3 linked regions of the Drosophila melanogaster genome follow. The gene in region 2 interacts genetically with the main gene of each other region. Each region holds a gene or a part of one and is shown on either strand. Other genes may lie near its edges.

The links.
Region 1: of orb (region 2) and yps, changing one suppresses a phenotype caused by changing the other (phenotypic suppression), as found in Drosophila melanogaster (2 studies listed by BioGRID).
Region 3: of orb (region 2) and hrg, changing one enhances a phenotype caused by changing the other (phenotypic enhancement), as found in Drosophila melanogaster (2 studies listed by BioGRID).

What each region holds. Positions count from the first base shown.
Region 1 is NT_037436.4:12,122,485-12,128,922, forward strand, and holds the start of yps (ypsilon schachtel), read right to left. Parts: upstream 2,667-6,438; 5' UTR 2,403-2,666; coding exon 2,228-2,402; intron 1,091-2,227; coding exon 353-1,090; intron 290-352; coding exon 192-289; coding exon of another isoform or gene 180-191; exon of another isoform or gene 1-179. Other genes in the region: Ir68b (ionotropic receptor 68b), read right to left, coding at 3,003-4,910; CG34241 (uncharacterized protein), read left to right, coding at 5,615-5,644, 5,701-5,919.
Region 2 is NT_033777.3:23,276,060-23,282,497, forward strand, and holds the start of orb (oo18 RNA-binding protein), read right to left. Parts: upstream 4,798-6,438; 5' UTR 4,372-4,797; intron 3,500-4,371; 5' UTR 3,018-3,499; coding exon 3,000-3,017; intron 1-2,999. Other genes in the region: Cdc16 (cell division cycle 16), read left to right, coding at 5,232-5,327, 5,391-5,901, 5,956-6,238, 6,298-6,438.
Region 3 is NT_033778.4:19,666,844-19,673,281, forward strand, and holds the start of hrg (hiiragi), read right to left. Parts: upstream 2,990-6,438; 5' UTR 2,404-2,989; exon of another isoform or gene 2,275-2,403; intron 2,226-2,274; exon of another isoform or gene 1,947-2,225; intron 1,636-1,946; 5' UTR 1,511-1,635; intron 1,444-1,510; 5' UTR 1,406-1,443; coding exon 685-1,405; intron 622-684; coding exon 425-621; intron 367-424; coding exon 1-366. Other genes in the region: Kpc2 (Kip1 ubiquitination-promoting complex subunit 2), read left to right, coding at 3,912-4,306, 4,441-4,452, 4,518-5,007, 5,063-5,398, 5,451-5,754, 5,818-5,966.

The sequences.
Region 1 (6,438 bases), on a different chromosome or scaffold from region 2:
CAATGCACTTTAGTTAGTTGTTTAGTTTTTAAGACGCCTTCACCATGTTATTATTGTAGACCTTGTTGTTATGCTTGCGACTGACTGTTGCTGATGTTTACTAATTTAGATGTTGTTATCGTAGGTTTGTTTCGGCGAAGATGTTTCAGTTGTTTCTGCTGTTGTGATGATGCTGGTGATTAGTTCATTACCTTCTCTGGCTGCTGCTCCGAACCACCGCCAGGGCCATTTGGTTTCCTCTGGCGACGTGGACGTGGCTGTTGTGGGCGTGGCGGTCCCTGGCCTTGAACTGCAACAGAATAATATTAATAATAATATATACCAATTATCTAATAGCACAAAGTTCACTCACTGTATTCTCCGCCGTCGCGGCGTGGTGGCGGTGGACCATTGTTGAAGTTGCGTCGGAAGAAGCGCCTCTGGGGTCCGCCCGGTGGGCCTCCACCGCGACGTGGTCCCTGACCCTCGCCGCGCTGCAGACCCTCGGGATTCTGATCGTGGACACCGGGCTCGGCGCTGCCGTCACCGCCGCCCAGGCCGCGTCTCGGCTGACGCAGATAATAGTTGTTGTAGCGCCGGGGGCCACCGGGAGCTCCACCAGGCGGTCCTCGGGGGCCACCTCGAGGTCCTCCGGGCGGTCCACCGGGTGGTCCTCGGCGGAAGTTCTGTCGTGGTTGACGCGGGCCGGACTGCACCTGCTGCTGCGGCTGCCCGTCAACGATTGGTGCCGCCTGCTGCTGTTGCTGCTGGGCCGACGATTCGGCGTCTTCGCCTTCCACTTCGCCATCCTTGCGGCGATTCTTCTTCATCCAGGGACGGAAGTTACGGCGCTTGTCCGCTGCAAACTGACTGCCCCGCACCGGCTCACCGGAGGGACCGGTCACGTTGGCCGCCTCGTTGCCCTTCTCACCAATGACCACGTCGAACTCAACGACCTCACCGTCGCCCACCGAGCGGACCGCCTTTTTGGGGTTGTTCCGCGCAATGGCGCTCTGGTGCACAAAGACATCCTCTCTGGTGTCGTTGCGGTTGATGAAGCCGTAGCCGCTCTTCACGTTGAACCACTTGACGGTGCCGGTGACTTTGGTGGCTGCAATGGGAAAGAGTAGAAATTATAAACAATTGGGGATAATAGTGGGATTCAATATTTTTGGCGGTACTTATTCTACAAACGTGTGATCATTTAATTGATTTCAATGGTATAATACTTGTTTGGGATCAGTTGCAATCATTCCTTTATCAAATATTATAATCCTTTAAACATTATACATGCAACAAAAATATTAGGGAACAGTAGGGATGCACAGCGAGCTGACTTCTAAAATACAAATAATTCTACATAAGAAACTTAAATTATACAAAAGGGGTAGTTTTGAGATAATACTTTGCATTTTTTTTTTATTATAAAGGAGGGGCAAAACGCAATACATCTGAAACTAAACTAATACGCAGTTTGAAAACTCATTGAAGCGTGCAATAACATTGAAAGACGTTTTATAACCACAAATTATTGGTTAACAATTATTTAAAACTATGGTTACCAAAATTTCGAATAAACCATATAAGTATGCATATAATATGTTGATTTACGCGAAAATATAGTGGCATCCCAAATTATTTGGCAATATATTGTAATAGTCGCCGAATATTATTGTATCTTATTGGTTGCATTATGGTCTCGTGTTTTGAAATCGCCTTATAGCCATGCTTCCATGCGTTTTAGTGTGTGTGTGCAAATAGATGTACCAAAACAATGAACACACACATCCACACCCGGCTGTCTGCCCTCTCGTTCGCACTCCCGCTGCGCGCGCATTAACAAATTGGGTTGCCCTGGCTCGCTCTGCATGTGTGTATGTGTGTGTGTGTGTACACCTATGGGGGGGCATTTTTTAAAGAGGCGAAGCGGGTGGGGTTGGTGGTTGGGTGGGTGGAAAGACAGACGACCGGCAAAAGGCAGAATTTTCAATTTGGTTAGCCGGCGGCGCGAGCGTTCGTGCACATACATATATACATGCGTTGCGTTGCCTTTGGCCGCACAAAATGGCCGACGCGCGTATATTTTAAGACTCAAAACACACACACACACACGCATACAGGGAGGCATGTTTCTTGTTCTTTTTTCCTCCTTTTTTTCATTGCTATTTTGGTAGCAGCCGCCATGTGTTCGCGGCACATGAATGAAATTGGTTGGGAATTGGGTTTAACATGCGAGTTTCAGCCTTACCGATGACTTCCTTGGTGGGCGGAGCGGGCTGGCCCTGCTGTCCCTGCAGCTCGTCCAGCGGCTCCTGCTCGTGATCCTGCTCCTGCGGATTCGGCGGATTCTGCTGCTGCTCCGGCTGCTGCTGCGCCTGCTGCTGTTCGGCGGCCAGTGGCTTACTCTCCGCGGCATCAGCCATCGTTTGTCGTGGTTTTGTTATTTGTTGTTCGGCGACGACGAAAACGAAAAGCGGGAAATGCTGCTGCTGCTGTTGATGATGGTGGTGCTGCTGCTGCTGGTGTTGTTCGTGTCTGCCCGGCTGGTATTCGGGGTCTTGGGCACTCTCTCAACTGCCACTAACCACTTTGGATGTTGTTTTTGAGTGTGATCTTAAAACACTCGCCACTCGCAGGGTTTTCTTTGCCTTAGCGATTCTATTTTGTTCGCAAGCTCCGGAAGTGAAACATGACAGCCGGAGGCAGGGTTGCTGGTGATCGGACTATCGATGGGTGCTATCGATGCTCTGATACTGGGGGTCTCCAGTGTGCTGTTACGCGCGGAATGTTAAGCCATAACAACATAAAAAGCCGTTACATTTAAATTTACAAGAAAGGTTAATTGGAATAAATGGTTAAATTCATTAAATGGTTAGAATAATATAAAACTACAGTTTTATCATTAAAATGTATAAAACAACATGTCCAACTAAACAGCGGTGAAATTTATTGAAAACTTAGTATAGTATTTACAATAACAAACATATATGTACCTTTTATTTAGTAATTTTTAATATTTTTAGTTAGCTTGTTCTAGCTTCAACCGCATTCCGAAGTGTCTGTCTCCGCCAAAACCAATGAGCGTGCTCCACTGCAAATCCCAAGCAGCTTATGCCAATCCCCACGGACCAGAGATAGAAGGCGCCCTGCAGGATGTCCAGAGTGAGAACCACCTTTTTGTTACGAATCGCCAACTCGTTGGAGCCGGAATCCGTGTCCGTCTGGTCGCCCAGATCCTCGAGAAACTCCTCAGCATCCGGCGACGCACCAACCCGGGTGATCAGATCCATTTGACGCCAGTGCTCAAAGAAGCCGTGCTCGAGGAAGCCACTGTACAGAGATTCCAAGCGGTGCAGAAAGGGCGATCCTCTTGGTAGGATGTAGGTGCATATCATAGAGCGCAGATATTCCCGGGCGATGTGGTAGGCTGGTCGCTCTGCCTGCGAGTCATAGGTGATGGCCAGAAAGTCACGGGCGTGAAAATCCCGCATGATAAAGGCCGCTCGTCGATCCCTGCGCCGGACCACCGGCTGGTAATAGGATGTGGCTATTCCCAGTGGCAGCTGGCGACTACGGTTCTCCAGCAGACCGTATTGGTGCTCCGTCAGGGCGCTCCTAACTGCGTCATACATCGTGGTCACCGCATAAATGTGCACATCCAAATGTACCAAATCGTCCACTCGGTCCACCTGCTCCTCGTAGCTTGGTCGCACAAATCCGGACTCCAGTTTGGCAAAGTAGATGGTGGACAGGACGTAGCTGAAGAGGATCCAACCCATGAGGAACGTTCTCATCGAGCTGAAGGAGGATAGCCTGCCCGCCGGTTCACCCACATGTGTCTTGCCGAACATCTCGAGAATCTCATACCACGTTGCCTGAAACTGGATGACTCCGCGACGGGGAATTCTTCGCTGCAGACGTTGCATCACCCAGAAGACCAGCACCACAACCAAAAGGGTGACCAAGAGCAAGTACCACACAGTTCGCCGAAAGACACGCACGAAGATCAGGTACTCCGGCTGGATTGCGGAGGCGGGCACGACCAGGTGCAGGTTGCGACGGGTATAGGGATACAGCACCTCAACCGCTGGCCAAATGCAGTCGAGCACGAAGCGGGAATTGGGTGCAAAGTGGGTGTGACCACCGACTATGTCGCTGACCACGCCGGTGTAGTTTCCATTCGGAAGGCAACGACCGTAGGATTCGTTATCCTCCGGGAAGACATATGTTACTGAGGCATTCAACATCTCGCCAACAACTCGGGCCGCCACTCCATCCACTGCCTGATAGCCAGCTGTCTCCACAGGACTCCTGGGCATCGCCATCAACGGATCCGTAAACATGGAGAAACGCAATGGGTAGCCGCGCAAGTCCTTCACCTTTCTTGCGTACGGCACTTCGCCATCCAGCCGCTGAATCACTTGGAGACCACCCCAAGCAAAGGGATCAAAGTCAAAGGTGCCATTTTCCCTGCCGGTAATGGCCAATCCGTAGAGCAGCTTCTTGGCCCAACTGCCGCGAAAAAGTCGCAGTAACTGATGCCTTCCGGCATTTGGCCAAACAAACAGATACTTGTGCATATGCTTGCGCCTCTGGTGAGGATTCAACATGTCCAGGATGCGGCGTACCAAGGAATCACCCTTTTCGGCAGCCGGAATTTGAAAGATGCTTAGGCTGTCCGTTCGTCTAAATGGTTCCAGCTCATGTGCTTCCATGTTCCGTGTGATTACGGGCAGTCTACTGCCCACACACCGATAGAGATCCAATTCCAAGGCAGAGTAATCCGCATCGAAGGATGCCGGGCAGCTGGCACAGCGGTACAGATAGGTCACCTGGACATTCTGCTCTACGGCTATGCGACAGGCAATCTCGGCAAGGGCATAAATGCCAGGAAGATACCATTGGAGCAGCAATCCAACCAAAAACTTCATGTTCTACGAGCAGACTAACCAGTGAAATATCCTTTGGGTGAACACAACACCTGTAGAGGATTTCCCATGGGAGCCGTAATTCCCAATTAGGAAAAGCGATGCGTGAGCAGTTCATTAGTTGGCTAATATTTTTGGGGTAACTTGAAAAAAGTTATCAAAACTTGATTTCTACAAAATAATTATAAAAGGAATAAAAGGACATTACAGAAAATGAATGAAAGTAAACGGAAGGTTTGCAATAAAATGGGTTTTTTTTTATTTGAGTTTCTAAAAAGCAATAAGATTATGCATTTATAAAAGAAATCATTTTCTTTTGATTAGCAACTAAACATTTGAACAACATTTTGCATTAATGTATACTTCTAATGATAAGGTGTTGTTTATTCTAAATCGGATGAATCATATTTTGAAGACTTTGCGAATGACGCAGCAATGTGATCACCTTGAATAGACGAGACTCATATGTTCTCGAAGTCTGAATAATATAAAAATATATATTTCAAGATATACCAATACCAATTTCAAAACTTGAAACGCAAATCTAAAAAAAAGTATGCCATGATTATGGTTTCGGGTTTTCATAAACTATTTTCACCCGTTTCGGTTAGGTTTCTTTTCATATCTTTCGAGTAACCGGACAAAATCATTGAAAAATTTCTAAATTTTCAAAATTTGTTTATTTCGAATATAAAAGTTTTTTAACCATGGATAGGGGTACGTCTTCAAATCAGCCCGTAAGTATTTCATTTCTCTTTTGGTCTTTCAAATTTATCTCCGTGCTTTTCTGTAGATCCTGACCACCTGTGAGATGTATCCGCGCCGAAGGAACACGGAGTTCTACAGATCCCCGGAACCGAGAGTCTCCTGCCAAAACCAACGAGCGGAACATCCGGGGCAGATGCTCAACGTGACTCCCGACGAGAATCGGGAGGCCGTACGAAGACTTCCACGAATCCAGCCGCCAAATAATTTGGATAGTGTTTATCTACGCAATGGTTACTTTTCGTAAAATAAATTTTGTAGATTCTGTGTAAACTAAAATAAAGATATGTACGTATAGATATACTAATGAGATCATATGCATTTGCATAGAACGTCATAATTTCCTATCCTGTAATCATATATATTTTTATTTTGAAGGACATTTAATAGCAGTATAAAAACCGAGGACTGAAATGGGTCTGATTGATTGATATGTTCTCCATTGACCTGCGGATCATTCGATGGTCCATTGTTCTTTGTTGTCCGGGATTTGTTGTCGCAGCAACATGATGCTCCGTGTTTTGCAATTCGGAATATTTTTAGCATTGATAAAGAATCGATGCGGCGAACAAAGCAAACTTATCAAGGAAGCCGCCTGGTAACACCTCAATTGACAGGAGATCAGGTGGCCATGTAATCTTAATCACTATTTGAAATAGGTTAATCAAGGGGGCCCGTCAAACACCTGTTGTTGATATGTGTGAAAAAAGCACGATCATCAGTTTGAAATGGAAAAATGGGGAAAAATGAAAGTCATTACACGGCG
Region 2 (6,438 bases):
GGGCTCATTCCATTGGCCAAAAGGCCTGATACCCTCTCGACCAGGCCACCTTTCGTCATCCGCTCAACCACAATAATGGTGTGCATCAGCCGGAGTTCAGGGGGTCACAAAGGGGTGAGTGGGTGTCGTCGGACGATGGGCGGTGTCGGCGGTGCCGCATCACAATCACGCATGCCGCACCACTGCCAATGCATTAAATGCTAGTTGAGCCCAGTAGTGTGTGCAACGTCTGGCGAAGTAAATTCAATTGAATTTTGCACTCGTTTTCTGTTTTCAGTTTTCCATTTTTTCTCCCATTTTCCGCACTCTTCTTTTATTTATTTTTTTTTTTTGTATTATTCCTTTCTCATTTTTGTTAAATGCCACAGGCTCATATTGCAATGGGCTACGCCCTAATACCAAGCACCACTACCCAATCCACAAAACGCGGCAGTGCAACAAACGCAACGCACCCTGGTTGATATTTTCTTGGTTGTTATCCTTCTCGCTGGCGGCGGGCGTGTGATTTGCTTGGTATCGACATTTTAATGATGTGCCCTGGGGCTGCTGCCACCGCATTGTTGGAGGACGCCTTGGCCGCCTTGTACTTTTGGCATTTGCGCGAAATGTCGAGACATTCCAATAGTCTGCCAAGGATCAGAACCAGAACCAGAAGCTGGAGCCGTACTATTGGGTAGTGGGAGTGAAAATGGCAGGCTATGGCGGCCTGGACATACCAAGTTGGCCTGCGGCATATACTTAAGTGTACATAACCAACTGTTAATGCCACACCATCGCCCAGCACAATGATTTGCTCGAAATGATTGCCGCCCTCTCTTGAGCATTCACTCGAGTTTGGGTTTGAATAATGCCAATGATTTGCCCGCTGGCAATCAAATTTGAGCCGGCTAATAACTGGCAATTGCAGGCAGTCGTTTAGGGAAAACGGCCAAGCATTCACTTAATTATACTATTAGTGTAATATTTATGGGCGTGTGTAATCAACAGGTAAAGCAGATAGTTTAGTTTGCTTTAAGCATAGTTTACCCCCACGAGCATAGATCTAATTTAATAGTAAGGTTCTATGATTAATTATGCACAATACAGTAATGTTGGCAAGTTTTAATGCCAGACATATTGCTACACAAAATCCCGGTGTCATTGATATGGACTGACCTGCACTTGGACAGTGAACCAAGACGTTGGTGCAAGGACAATAAAGGAAAATTTTGTACGAAACGATGTTACAGCAGGATATGGACTTTTGCAGAGCATGACATCACACATCCTACGGCTTAAAATGGCAAATAAAATGTACAGCATTTCTTATGACCGACAAATTTTCCGCTGTGGCCCCCACCATTATTTATAGGCATTTTAAACAGCAGGCAATGCCGCAATGGAAATGAGTGCAAAAAATATAAATAATACGGAAAGCAGGACATTAAGAACACGCCACGTTGGCAAGAAGTAGACGCATTTTAGACATTACCAGCAAATAAATATGAATGTATAGCAATACGGCAAGGGAAGGGGGGGGGGGGTATAGACACTGCTTACACGACGAAATTGACATTTTGCATTTAGTTATTCAGTTGGGTCTATATTTTGATCTTTTTTTTCTACCATTTTGCTGCCGCCGCTGGCAGCCACAATAAAATGAGAAGAAAAATTGCATAATAACCCCTTTGAAATCGTCGGATTATCCTTAAATATTTGTGTAAACATTGTAACAAATGCGCAGCTCCATTGTCAGCCAACTCGGGCCATGGATGCAGCACAGAACCAACCTCCATCCTTCATCCTCCACCTCTGTTTCCATCTCCGCCTCTTTGAAAGCCATCCCCAATCCATTGACGTAGTCAAGGCGGCTTTTCCTCAACCCCTGTGCGTCGTCTGTCGTCAAATGCCTGAATGATGAGCAATAGACGGGTCCGGGTCTCCTGTCACAGTCGACAATGAGCAACTTTTTCCAAAGGCGGAAGACGTGGCAAGGATACAAACGGGCCGCGTAGCCAACAATGGGACCAAGTGCTCCGCCGAGGAGGGAAAGCGTCTTAAAAAACCTGTCACACATATTGACAGTCGCTTTAGGATCGCTTAAATCAAGTCTGGGGTCGGCGGGGGCATGAGCCGAGTCGTCGGGTTGGTTAGCATGTGCGTATCAGCATAAAGGATATTGTAATCATTACATGTAATTCACATTTGGGGGTGAAGGGCAATTGCCGCAACTGACATAATTTTGATGTGTATTGATATGAAGCGGATTGTCAGGCAGGATAATTAATTTTCCAGAGGATAAAGAAAAACTCAGGAAGGGACATGTAATATTTTGAGCCATAAGAGGCTAATAGCTGTCTGCTTGTACTGTCACTGGAGTTTTAAGATTATTAGACAAACTTTTACGAATCTTTAAAGACATAAAAATCTGGATACTAATGGCAGTTGTAAAGCGTGCCCAACAACTTTAGCTCTGTTTTTTATCCGCTATTCCAATGCTTCCATTTGCTCTCTGCGCTTTTTCTGTACCGCTCAGTGTCCTAATCGAATCATCTCATTTAAGTGAATTAAAAAACATATAAAGGCGAGCAAAATTAAATCACGCAACTATTTTGCGCAACAAAGAGTACAATTAAAAGCCCACCCGGCGGCAAAAAGGACGAAAAGGAGGCGCAGTGGTGTCTGGCGCAGAAAACGCCGCAAGTTTAATCGAATTTAACTACTCATAATGTGCAACAGACGTTGGCGGATGGGGCTGTTTCAGTGGGTGGTGGGGTGGTTTGAAAAACTCTCAGAAGTGTAGGCGTAAAGTTGGGCACTAATCTTATTAGGATCATCCCGGGCCAGCCACTCACGAATCCCAATTGGGAAGATGAACTGAAAAAGCCAGCTGATGTAGAGCTCTCTCACTCGCTCGGTCGTTCTCTCTCTCCCTCTTTCTCTCTAGCCGACTTTATTCGTACGTGAGCGTTTCAATTACCGCTCTGGAGTGCGAATGGGTTTTATTATTATTTACATACCTGTTGCAGCAGGGGCATTGTTTTGAATAAAAATTCCAATTTCCACACTTGTTCACGTTGCGCTCCTTGTTCGTTCGTGCTCGTTCGCGTTCGTTCGTGTTCGGCAGGAGCAGCATCCGCCAACTGACAAAGCGGCAAAACAGATGTCACCACTTCCGCCTCTCGTACCTTCCCTTTCCCACTCCCACTGCCGGCGGAGAGCCCGTTCGCGCACCGTCTCTCTCGCCCTCTCTCTTTCACTCCTGCGCAGGCCTTTCGGTTGGAGTTCGCTGCGGTTCGAGTCCAAGTTCGTGTTGGATCTGGTTGGAGTTTGAATTGGATGCCGAGCCTCGGGCAAGGAATCTGGTTTTTGTTGTTGTTTATTGGAGCTCCACAGGATAACGCGACTGAGCGAGCGAGAGGGGCGAAGGCGAACCAAGACAGCTGGCAGATGTGGCCGTATCAGCAGCAAATAGTCATCGATTCATTCCGCCTCGTCAACGATGCAAATTTCCAAAGGCCTGAAATATCATAAGCATGAATTAATTATAAGAGTACTCTTCTTTGTAGTTTCCAAATCAGTGGAGTTTAAAGAAAACACACGCGTACGCACTTGAGCGTTAAATGCCGTAAATCGATCAAGGCGTATCCCTCTCTCTCCTACTCTCTATGACACTGTCCCGGCTAACTGTAATTAACTGTAATCCAGGGTCGTTTACTTTAAAGGGGGCTTTTATGGCCGCCAATAACACAAACTATGCATTATCCTTTCGGGTGGTAATCCTTTCGGAAGCTGTGTGTTGAGCGAACCTATTATTAGAGCCATAAATCAGCATGAAATGAGCAGTGGCAGCGAAGTTGGAGTTGTAAAATGGAGATGGAGATGGGGCCAAGCCCTGTCTCGCCCTTTCTCTACTCTCTCCATCTCACTCTCGCGCTCTGTGCGTAGAATAATGGGTAGTAAGAATAAGTGTGCACACAGAAAGAAAAATTGCTATACTTTCATGAATTGCACTGTTATTCATATTTCTTTTCAATTGATACCGGACAATCCAAAAATCTATTATTGTGCACACCTTACATTTTATTAACGAATTAAGACCCCGCGCAATTCCAGCTTCATTTCCTCTGTGTGGCCAAGGCGGCGATTGATTGCCGTAGTTTTTGGAGAGATGACGTGAGCCAAAGGCAACAGAAAAAAAAACAGGACCAACGGCACATAATAGTAGTGTGTAGTTGTAAAGTTGTAAAATACGCACGTCGAGAATGAGAGAACGAAAAATGAGCCGCTGCCCTGTTTTTCTTCACCTTCTTGTTACCAACTAATTTGAACTGCACCATTTTTCGGTCAACAATTTCTAGTGCCGGCTAACACTGATACACCAATACATACCCAGGACTCGCAAAAACACGCGGATGGCGCATAAATTCGTGTGAATTTTATTTTAATTCCGCACTTGCAATCGCATCCCGTTTCTTTTGTCGTCCACCAAGCACATTTTTACACACACTCGCACACACGCCGCCAGGAACCGTTACTTCTGCTTTGCACGCCCTTCGCCGTTTTCCGTTTCTCCTTCCGATGCTGTTTCGCCAAACTACTCACTCACGGACGCATTTTTTACTATTAAACTATTTTGATTGTTGAAAATCTTTGCGACTGTGGTATGGCACCACATTAACTCGAATTTAAAATTGAGCCTTAAATTTGAGCGGACCCTGCCGCGGCAATACAAATTAATAGAACAAACTAAATTATCATCCCGTGATATCTTTTATTTTGGAATTTTAGTCGGGATTTTTTGATATTATGGCCACGCCACGGCGTGCAACGCTGCTTAAATAACCTTTTTCGCCTGGCTCTGTCGAACCAACCGCATGCAACCGCTCTCTTGAACTTAAAAGCGCTCATTTGTTTGAAACAACTTGTGTTCGACGATTCCTCGACAAAAAAAGAAACAGTCATTAAAATTCGCACAAATGGCTGAACTATTTAAATAATTTATTTAATTTGTATTTTCATTTAAAGTTTTGGTTTTAAAATAATTTTTATATTTCCATTAATTTTATTACTTATTGGTAAAGCATTAACAGCAACCAAATTTTTTTCACTGGCGTAAACAACTGTTTCCAGTGAATGGCAACAATACAGCTGTTTTGCACAGAGTTGCCACTATGTTCAAATGAGTTATTACCAGCGGCGGAAAACTTGTATCAAATTTATAACAAAAATACAATTCTGCGTTAATAAAAATGCCCGGGGACACGGAAAACACAAGCACTGACACCACCAATGAACACATCGACCTGGCCTTGTACCGGCAGCTGGTCAAACAATTCATAGACATGGTAAGACAAAAAAACCAAAAGCCGGCAAGCAGAGCCTGAGTGCAAATTCAATTGCATTTTTAGCGTCGCTACTCCACAGCGCTTTTTTGGGCAGAAAAGGTGGCCGTGCTTGGTGGCCTGGAACCCAGGGATATTTACTACCAGGCGCAGTGCATGTACCTACTGGGGGAATACCATCGTGCTGCTCACACAATACAGCATCACAAGCTAGAGAAGAATTCACTGCCATGTTTTAACCTACTACTGGAAAGTCTCTATGCGGCCAAGGAGTTTACCGAGGCGGCCAATGTCATCCAGAATGTGGAGGTGGAAGTCATGACCACATCGCTGATCAACCAGCCCGTTGATGCAAGCAGTGGCTGCTATCTGGAAAGCAACAGTGTCTTTGGTGGCGAGGAGAATCACAGAAATGAACTGCTCTCATCCATTTACCTAATGAAGGGCAAAGTTTATGAGGCCCTGGACAATCGCGGCATGGCAATGGACTTCTATGTTCAGGCCCTTCACAAATCCATATACTGCTTTGAGGCCCTGGAGGCGCTGGTTCAACACGAAATGCTGATGGCTTGGGAAGGTGAGCATGCACCTACTTTCTGAATACAGTATAATCTCAACTTAATCATTGCAGAGTTTGAGCTAATGCATCATTTACCGCTGGCACAACAATCCAGCGAAGCTGATGCCAAGTTTATACTAAAACTTTATGAATCTCGCCTGAAGAAGTACTACGAGTTGATTTCCGCACGCAATGCTGAGGAGATGTCCCCCATTGTTAATCCTGACATACTCCAGTTTATCAAGGAATTTACAGCTCGAGTGCAGCAGAGCGGGTCGTCAGACACACAAATGCCCAAGGTGAGCGCCGTCAAGGTGCCGCTTACGCCCAGCCAGTTCATGTCGCCCGCACAGAAGTCAGTTCTCCTGATATTTCTAATATTTAGCGCATTCTTATTGAAGTTGTATCTTTAAGAGTCCTGGAAGATCTAAAGGCGCCCACATTTTCCCTACAAACTAGTCTCTCAAAGGCTTCTTCCCTCATTGATGCTTCTCACCGGTCCATGTTTGACTCATCCAGTAGGAGGCGATCGCGTGATCATGACACGGACACATT
Region 3 (6,438 bases), on a different chromosome or scaffold from region 2:
ACACTTGGGATTGACATGGGCCAGTGCAATATGGGGATTTCGCTCCAAGTTGCCAATTAGCAGACGCACCTTTGACTCAACAAGGCCGCACCACTCTAAATGATCGTCAGCCGTCTGCGAGTTGACTAACAACACGATAAAGTGGCGGTATCTGTAAAAAAAGCTAGGTGCCTCAAACAAACGCTCCCACGGAATGCGACCGAGCATGATTTCATCCGTGATGTTCATGCCGCGATTGAACTCGGTCAATATGACCTTCTTGGTGGATTCGGACACATTAAATGTGGAATTCTGTTGTGGGTATGCGGGCGTAATAATGGGCATCAGATGATACCGATCCGAGGCATTGACACGCGGATCCCAGACCTAGAATAGGAAAATCTATTAGAGAACCGGACTATTTGGATAAGTTTTTATGACTTACTTGAAATCTTAGATTAACGTTGTCCGGGTGCTTGAGTAGCACTGGGTTAGGCCACTTCCAGCGCGAAAAGACCAAGAAAAACTTGTGCACCAGTGTGGCAGCCGCAGCGTTGGGATACAGCTGACAGGTTCTGGCCACTAACATGGCCCAGGTCACACCACCGAAATAACCCAATGAATTTGAGTAGATTCCGTGCTCTAAGAGAGAAAATGAGAACAATTAGAATTTAATTTATAAGAATTTTATATAATAACACGTACTCTTTGCCCACAATTTGATAGTGCGCAGTGCCAGGCGGAAATTTTCAATATTGGGCACCAGGGCCAGGATCTCGTCCGTCACACGACAGCCGTTGAGGCTGCGCACCGAACGGTGATCCAGATTCCGCAGTAAGTTATCATCCCGTAGATCAAAGTCATCAGGAATTTCTTTTAGGGACAGACGGGCAAACAGCAAATCAATTTCGATGCCATCAAAGTTCATTTTGATGACGGGCACAAAGGCCTCTTCCACCGAGCGGCACTCGGTTACCTCTGGCTGCTTCTTGAGCACCTCAAAGAAGCTCTGAAAGTAGTCGGTGCGCTCAATATTTCGCGGAGCAACACATAAGGCATCTATATCGGCACCCTTGTGATGGACACCCAATCGATACGAGCCGAATGTGTAGATCTTGCCGCCAAGCTTCTCGGCGGCTGACTCTGGCATGTTCTTGCTGACAGAGATTTCCTTGACCCACTGCTTGACCAGTGTGTTGAGCTTGGCCAGGATCTCCATACGGTGATTTAGCTCGTCCTGGCTCTCAAAGACGTTGTACGGCTCCAGTGAGCCGCGGAGCTCATCAGTGCGCTGGAGATCCTCAGGCCGTGGCTCGGCCAGACTGATAGCCGAGGTCATGCCCAATTGCTTGGCGGGCGGTCCGCCCGAGGTAGAATTTCCATTGTGCTGATGGTGCTGGCGATGTGTTGGTTCGGAATTCCACATGTTGTCTGTCTGCCTTCGTTTCAGCTTAAAGTTATGTCCTGAAAATTGAAATTTTAAACGGTTATTATCTGATCCTTTCGGAATCGCTATATTCGATTTACTCACCTATCTAGGCTTAAAATGTATGTGGTATTATATTTAAGTTTGCTCTCCAAGAAGACAAAATGGAATCATATATATGCGACACCTCCTCTTGTGGCTCTGTTTAAGAAACTGCGCTTAATAAAATGCTGGAAAAGAAAATAATACATTTAGTATGACATCTAAAGCATTACTCTAAGGTTTGGTTTTAAAATTCTTAAGGAAGAGCGGATCGTATTGAAATTGAATAGGTTTGTTCGGACTATGATAATCTCATAAGGATTGCGAAATATTAGGGTTTCTTAAAGTGAGAATTATTGTACGGCGTTTCCAAACTGATGACGACGCGGTTTTTTAAAAAGTGAATCACCTAATATTTGAACTAAATATTTGTGGGATACACATTCATCACGTGATAAGGGCTACATATATACAACAGTTACTACTAAATTGAAATTACCCTTTTCTTCCTGTGTAGCAAAACAGTTAATTGACAATTACAATTTACTTTCGCGCTGAGTAAATGCAAATTGTAATGTGCGATAAGATATTTCTGATAGCGCCGTTATATACAAAAAACATAACAATGAATTTCGCAAAGCAGCTGGGCACACTGGTTCACTGGATAGCCTTTCGGGCATATAAACAAATGCGTAAAAGAAATTGGCAAATAAATTAGCGGTTGGAGTGGGTTGCCGTAGCTGTTGCTTGTAGCAGAATAATTGTGACAATGACAAACATAAACAAAGAAAGCGAATATTTATGCGCCTGCACCACCCCCCTCTCACCAACGACAATCCTCCCACACAGGTAAACGGTGCTCTCACGCACGCACTCACGCACACCCACACAAACAGGCACGCGCCGTATACATACACACACGAGGGGAAAAGTTTTCTCTGCTTGTTTTTGCTTACCTGCGCTTATTCTTCAGATTCTTGGCCTGTTTTTGTTGTTCCCGTGCCGCCGCTTCAAACAATATCTGAAGGTGTGTGTGTGTGTGGCGTGTCGTGCTGTTTGTCCGCTGCATTCGTGAGTGGTGCATATGTATGTATGTATGTTTGTTTGTTAGAACTTTTGGCAGGAGAGTGTATCCCATTCATGTGCTGTTGTCGCTCCGGCTTTTACTCTTTTCGCACGTTCGTCTTCCTCGCTTTTTTGCCGCACTCTTCACATTTCTTTTTTCGTTTCTTTTTCCGTTCCCGTTCCACCACCTTCCACTGCTGCTTAACGGACAGAAACTCTCGCGTTTTATGCTACGTGACGCACACGCACACACCGATATACAAATGCCAGTAGTCGACTTGCCAAAACGCAAACACAAACGCTTTCCGCCCACTTTTGTTTCGTTTCGGAGGTGACGGGGGCACACTGATAACACGACGGGATCGACGCTGTGGCGTTTAGTGGGCGGCAAACATATTTTACTAACTTTTAAGCCCCTGCGCGTTCTAGCAATAATTAAAATGTGTGGCAATCGATTGGATGCTTGTGGCAATCGTTATCGTTTCTTGCGGCGCATAGAGATGAGCCAATGGGAGTAGCTAGGGATGGGAAGATTTCCATGCTCTCTGCTTACGTATGCCTATTGTGAATGGACATTTTTAGTGAGAATTTTTAAATGATTTTTAGCAAATTGGTTTTAAATATAATGTGTATGAGCACCATTTTATTTCATTATCAAGCAGATTCGTTTCGCAAGTAATAAAAGTGAGAGTCATCTGCAAGCGATACCGCCTTAAGTAAAATAAGCTGAGGGCATAGGATTTACTATTGGTTCTTTTACAGTTGGGACCTAATCTGGCCATCTGCTTATTTGAAATCTGCGACAGATGTCACTTTTTGCACCTTTGGTGTAGGTAAATTCAAAACCCAATTTTCTTACCTGAAATTTGAAAACCCATTTCAAACTGGGATTTCAAGTATGTTTGGGTTTTATATGACGGGTCTAACCAGGTACCAATTTACCATTAAGACACTTAGATTGTATTACTAATAGTTTTTGGAAAATGAATTCTTTAATTCTATTACTATATTCGGGTAACTACTATTTATTGCAGTAAAGTAACAAAAGTATTTAACCCCAATGTTTTCCTGTTATTGTTATTGGCTAACGATAAGGAATAACATAGTTTTCTTCATATATGTACATATCACGATATATTTATAAAGTTCAGCCACATAACATATTTTAAAATAGTTTTTCATGTCAAAATAGCCGTTATAAAGATTAGGGGTATTCCCCATGGATATGGCCTATCTGGCAGCACCATCAAACAGCTGCTTGCTATCGACTTTACAAAAATAAAAATCGTTTTTTTTTTTTTTGCAATAACGCATCGATTCTGTTTACTTGCGAGAAATATGCAAAATAGCCATCGAAAAGTGCCGCAAAATGTAACAAACACCTAGCTGCAGACCCAAGATGATACCCTGGATGCGGGAGAAGTTCAACGAGAAACGGGCCAAGTGGTTGGCGCGTAGCAAGCGCAGCGGTGGTTCTCCGGCTGACGAAAGCCCTCGGAGCAGCAGTCATAGCCACAGCCAGCGGACAGACGCCAGCGATGCGGAGAGCCTGAGCGGATCCTCGTTGAATGTCCACACGGCGGAATCTGAAACGCAGACGGATGGCGGGATATCCGCTTCCAATTCGCGGCCCCTTGTGGGCGGGGGCAGTTGCGTCCTAAGGACTCCATCGCCCGCTCGCCGACGTCGCATTCACCTTGAGCTACAGCTGCAGCGACGAGAGGAACGTGCTGAGCATCAGAAGGTGGTGCCACAGGACTCGCCCACGCCCACTCACCAACAGCAGGCTAATGCGTAAGTTATCAAACCGAACGAATATGCTTATGTTTTTCAAAGTGCTCACCCGAAACAAATATTTGTCTTTCGAAATTCTCCGTTGGTTTGTCACTACCCATCCAACTAAAACAAACTATGCAAAAACTGCGCAGTTTGTTTCTCAGGTTAGTAATGCTTAGGTATTATGCTAATCTTTTAATTAAGTCCATTCTTAACGGAATCCACTTAGGAAATCAGCCCATACAAATCGCCCAGGTAGCTCTACTTCTGGCGAGGCAGACGATGCCAGCAGGCCAGGTGAATCTATCCTGGTGCGGGTAATCTGCCCCAGCTCTCGGGTTCTTATCTTCAAAACGGACGTTAATAAGCGCCTAAACGAGCTGAAGAGTGAGGTGATTCTGGAACTGAGCGACGATCCCGACTCCATCCAGCTATTTGCCCCAGATGTGCGGCATCTTAATCCGCGATACCGTCTCTATCGGGCGGAATACTTCGGCGGCGAGCTTAACGAGGGCGACACGCTGGCCCAGCTAAAAGTTCGCAACAATGAGACTTTCATACTCTCCCCACGACGCAATACTCTGCCGCAGACTGTTTCACGGATACGTGAGGTTCCTGGCCCAAATGAGCAGCTGGTGGAGAGCGCCACCCGATACGTGCCCGTCAATTGCAACCAGCTGCCCACCATCGATATTAATGAAATCTTTCAGCAGTCGAATGTGAGTACAATTCTTGGCTACTCCTTTGATTATTCTAATCCTATTCCGTTTCCAGATCCAATACGATGTGCGAAAGGTGTTGATCTCTTTGGCTCAAGCTTCTGCGGCGGTTATAGGAGCTGGCCCTTATGCTCCACGCCTGATAGCTATGCTAAAGCAACGTTTGATCAATCGCCGAAATCAGCAAGCGGATACGCTGCAATGCCTCGTGGACATGGGCTTCAAGCGGGAGCTAGCCGCATTTGCCTTAAAAGCACACAATGGCATTTACTCGACCACGATGGAGTGGCTAATACAGAACCAAAACGAGGAAAATCCACAGGAACCGCCGGGCATGAATATGCAGCACAGTCTATCTTCCATCTCACCCTCCACGATTGTCACCAATAATGTAAGTAGGAATTAGATTATCGCTTTTTAATGACAACCGTTTTCTTTTAAAGGAAACCATTGAAAACACTGCTGCCTTGATTGAGATTGTACGAATCTACAGCCACCGGGATTCCCCTCCCAGCGATGAGATTGTGGAATCGCTTACAGAAATGGGCTTCGAGGAGACGGCAGTGCTCGCGGCACTGAAGAAAACTGGCAACAACAAGGCGTCCGCGTGCGAATGGTTGTGCGACAATCGATCGGGTAGCGTTATTGAACTGCGTGAAGGCTTGGCGCCCGATTCGCCCATCCTAAAGGTGATCCTGGAAATGCCACAAGTCCAGATGACCCTAAGCAATCCAAAGACTTTTTTGGGTATGTCCATCTAATTAAGATAGCAACAGTTGAAATCGAAACTAATTGCACATACGTTTACAGCATTTCTGGGCATCCTGGAAAACGAACATGCGATACGCGTGTGGCGTGGCGACAACGACACAACCTCGGTCATCACACATATCCTTCAAAAGTACCATGAGGAGAAGCATGTGCTTGGCATCAATCAGTTCTATACGAACCGCTGGTGAAAGATGCCGCTAAGTGGCTTTACTATGAGATTAACCAAATTATATTTATACATATACATACACAATCACACACCCGAAGTGCATGGCTGTAGCTTGGTCCATTTTGGGGCTCTAATTATACATTGTGTATGTGCCCGTATGTAAAGAGTATTTTTGTAGCCAAAAACCATGAAAGTAAACTGCACAAAGCCAAAAGATGCAATCGCTTCGCCAAGAGCACGCGGCTGCACTCTACAAACGCTTACCGATCAGTACGAATTGCATTTTATACATACATATACATATATATACATACATACACATATATATACATACATACATATATATATATATATATATATATATATAAATATAAAATGTATCTATATCTAGTCAGGCCTTCATCCTACAATTGTATTAGGTTAAACAATAATTACTCTATTCATCTAGTTTGCTAGCTCATCTTCAGCCGAATCTCGCACTACATTTAGAA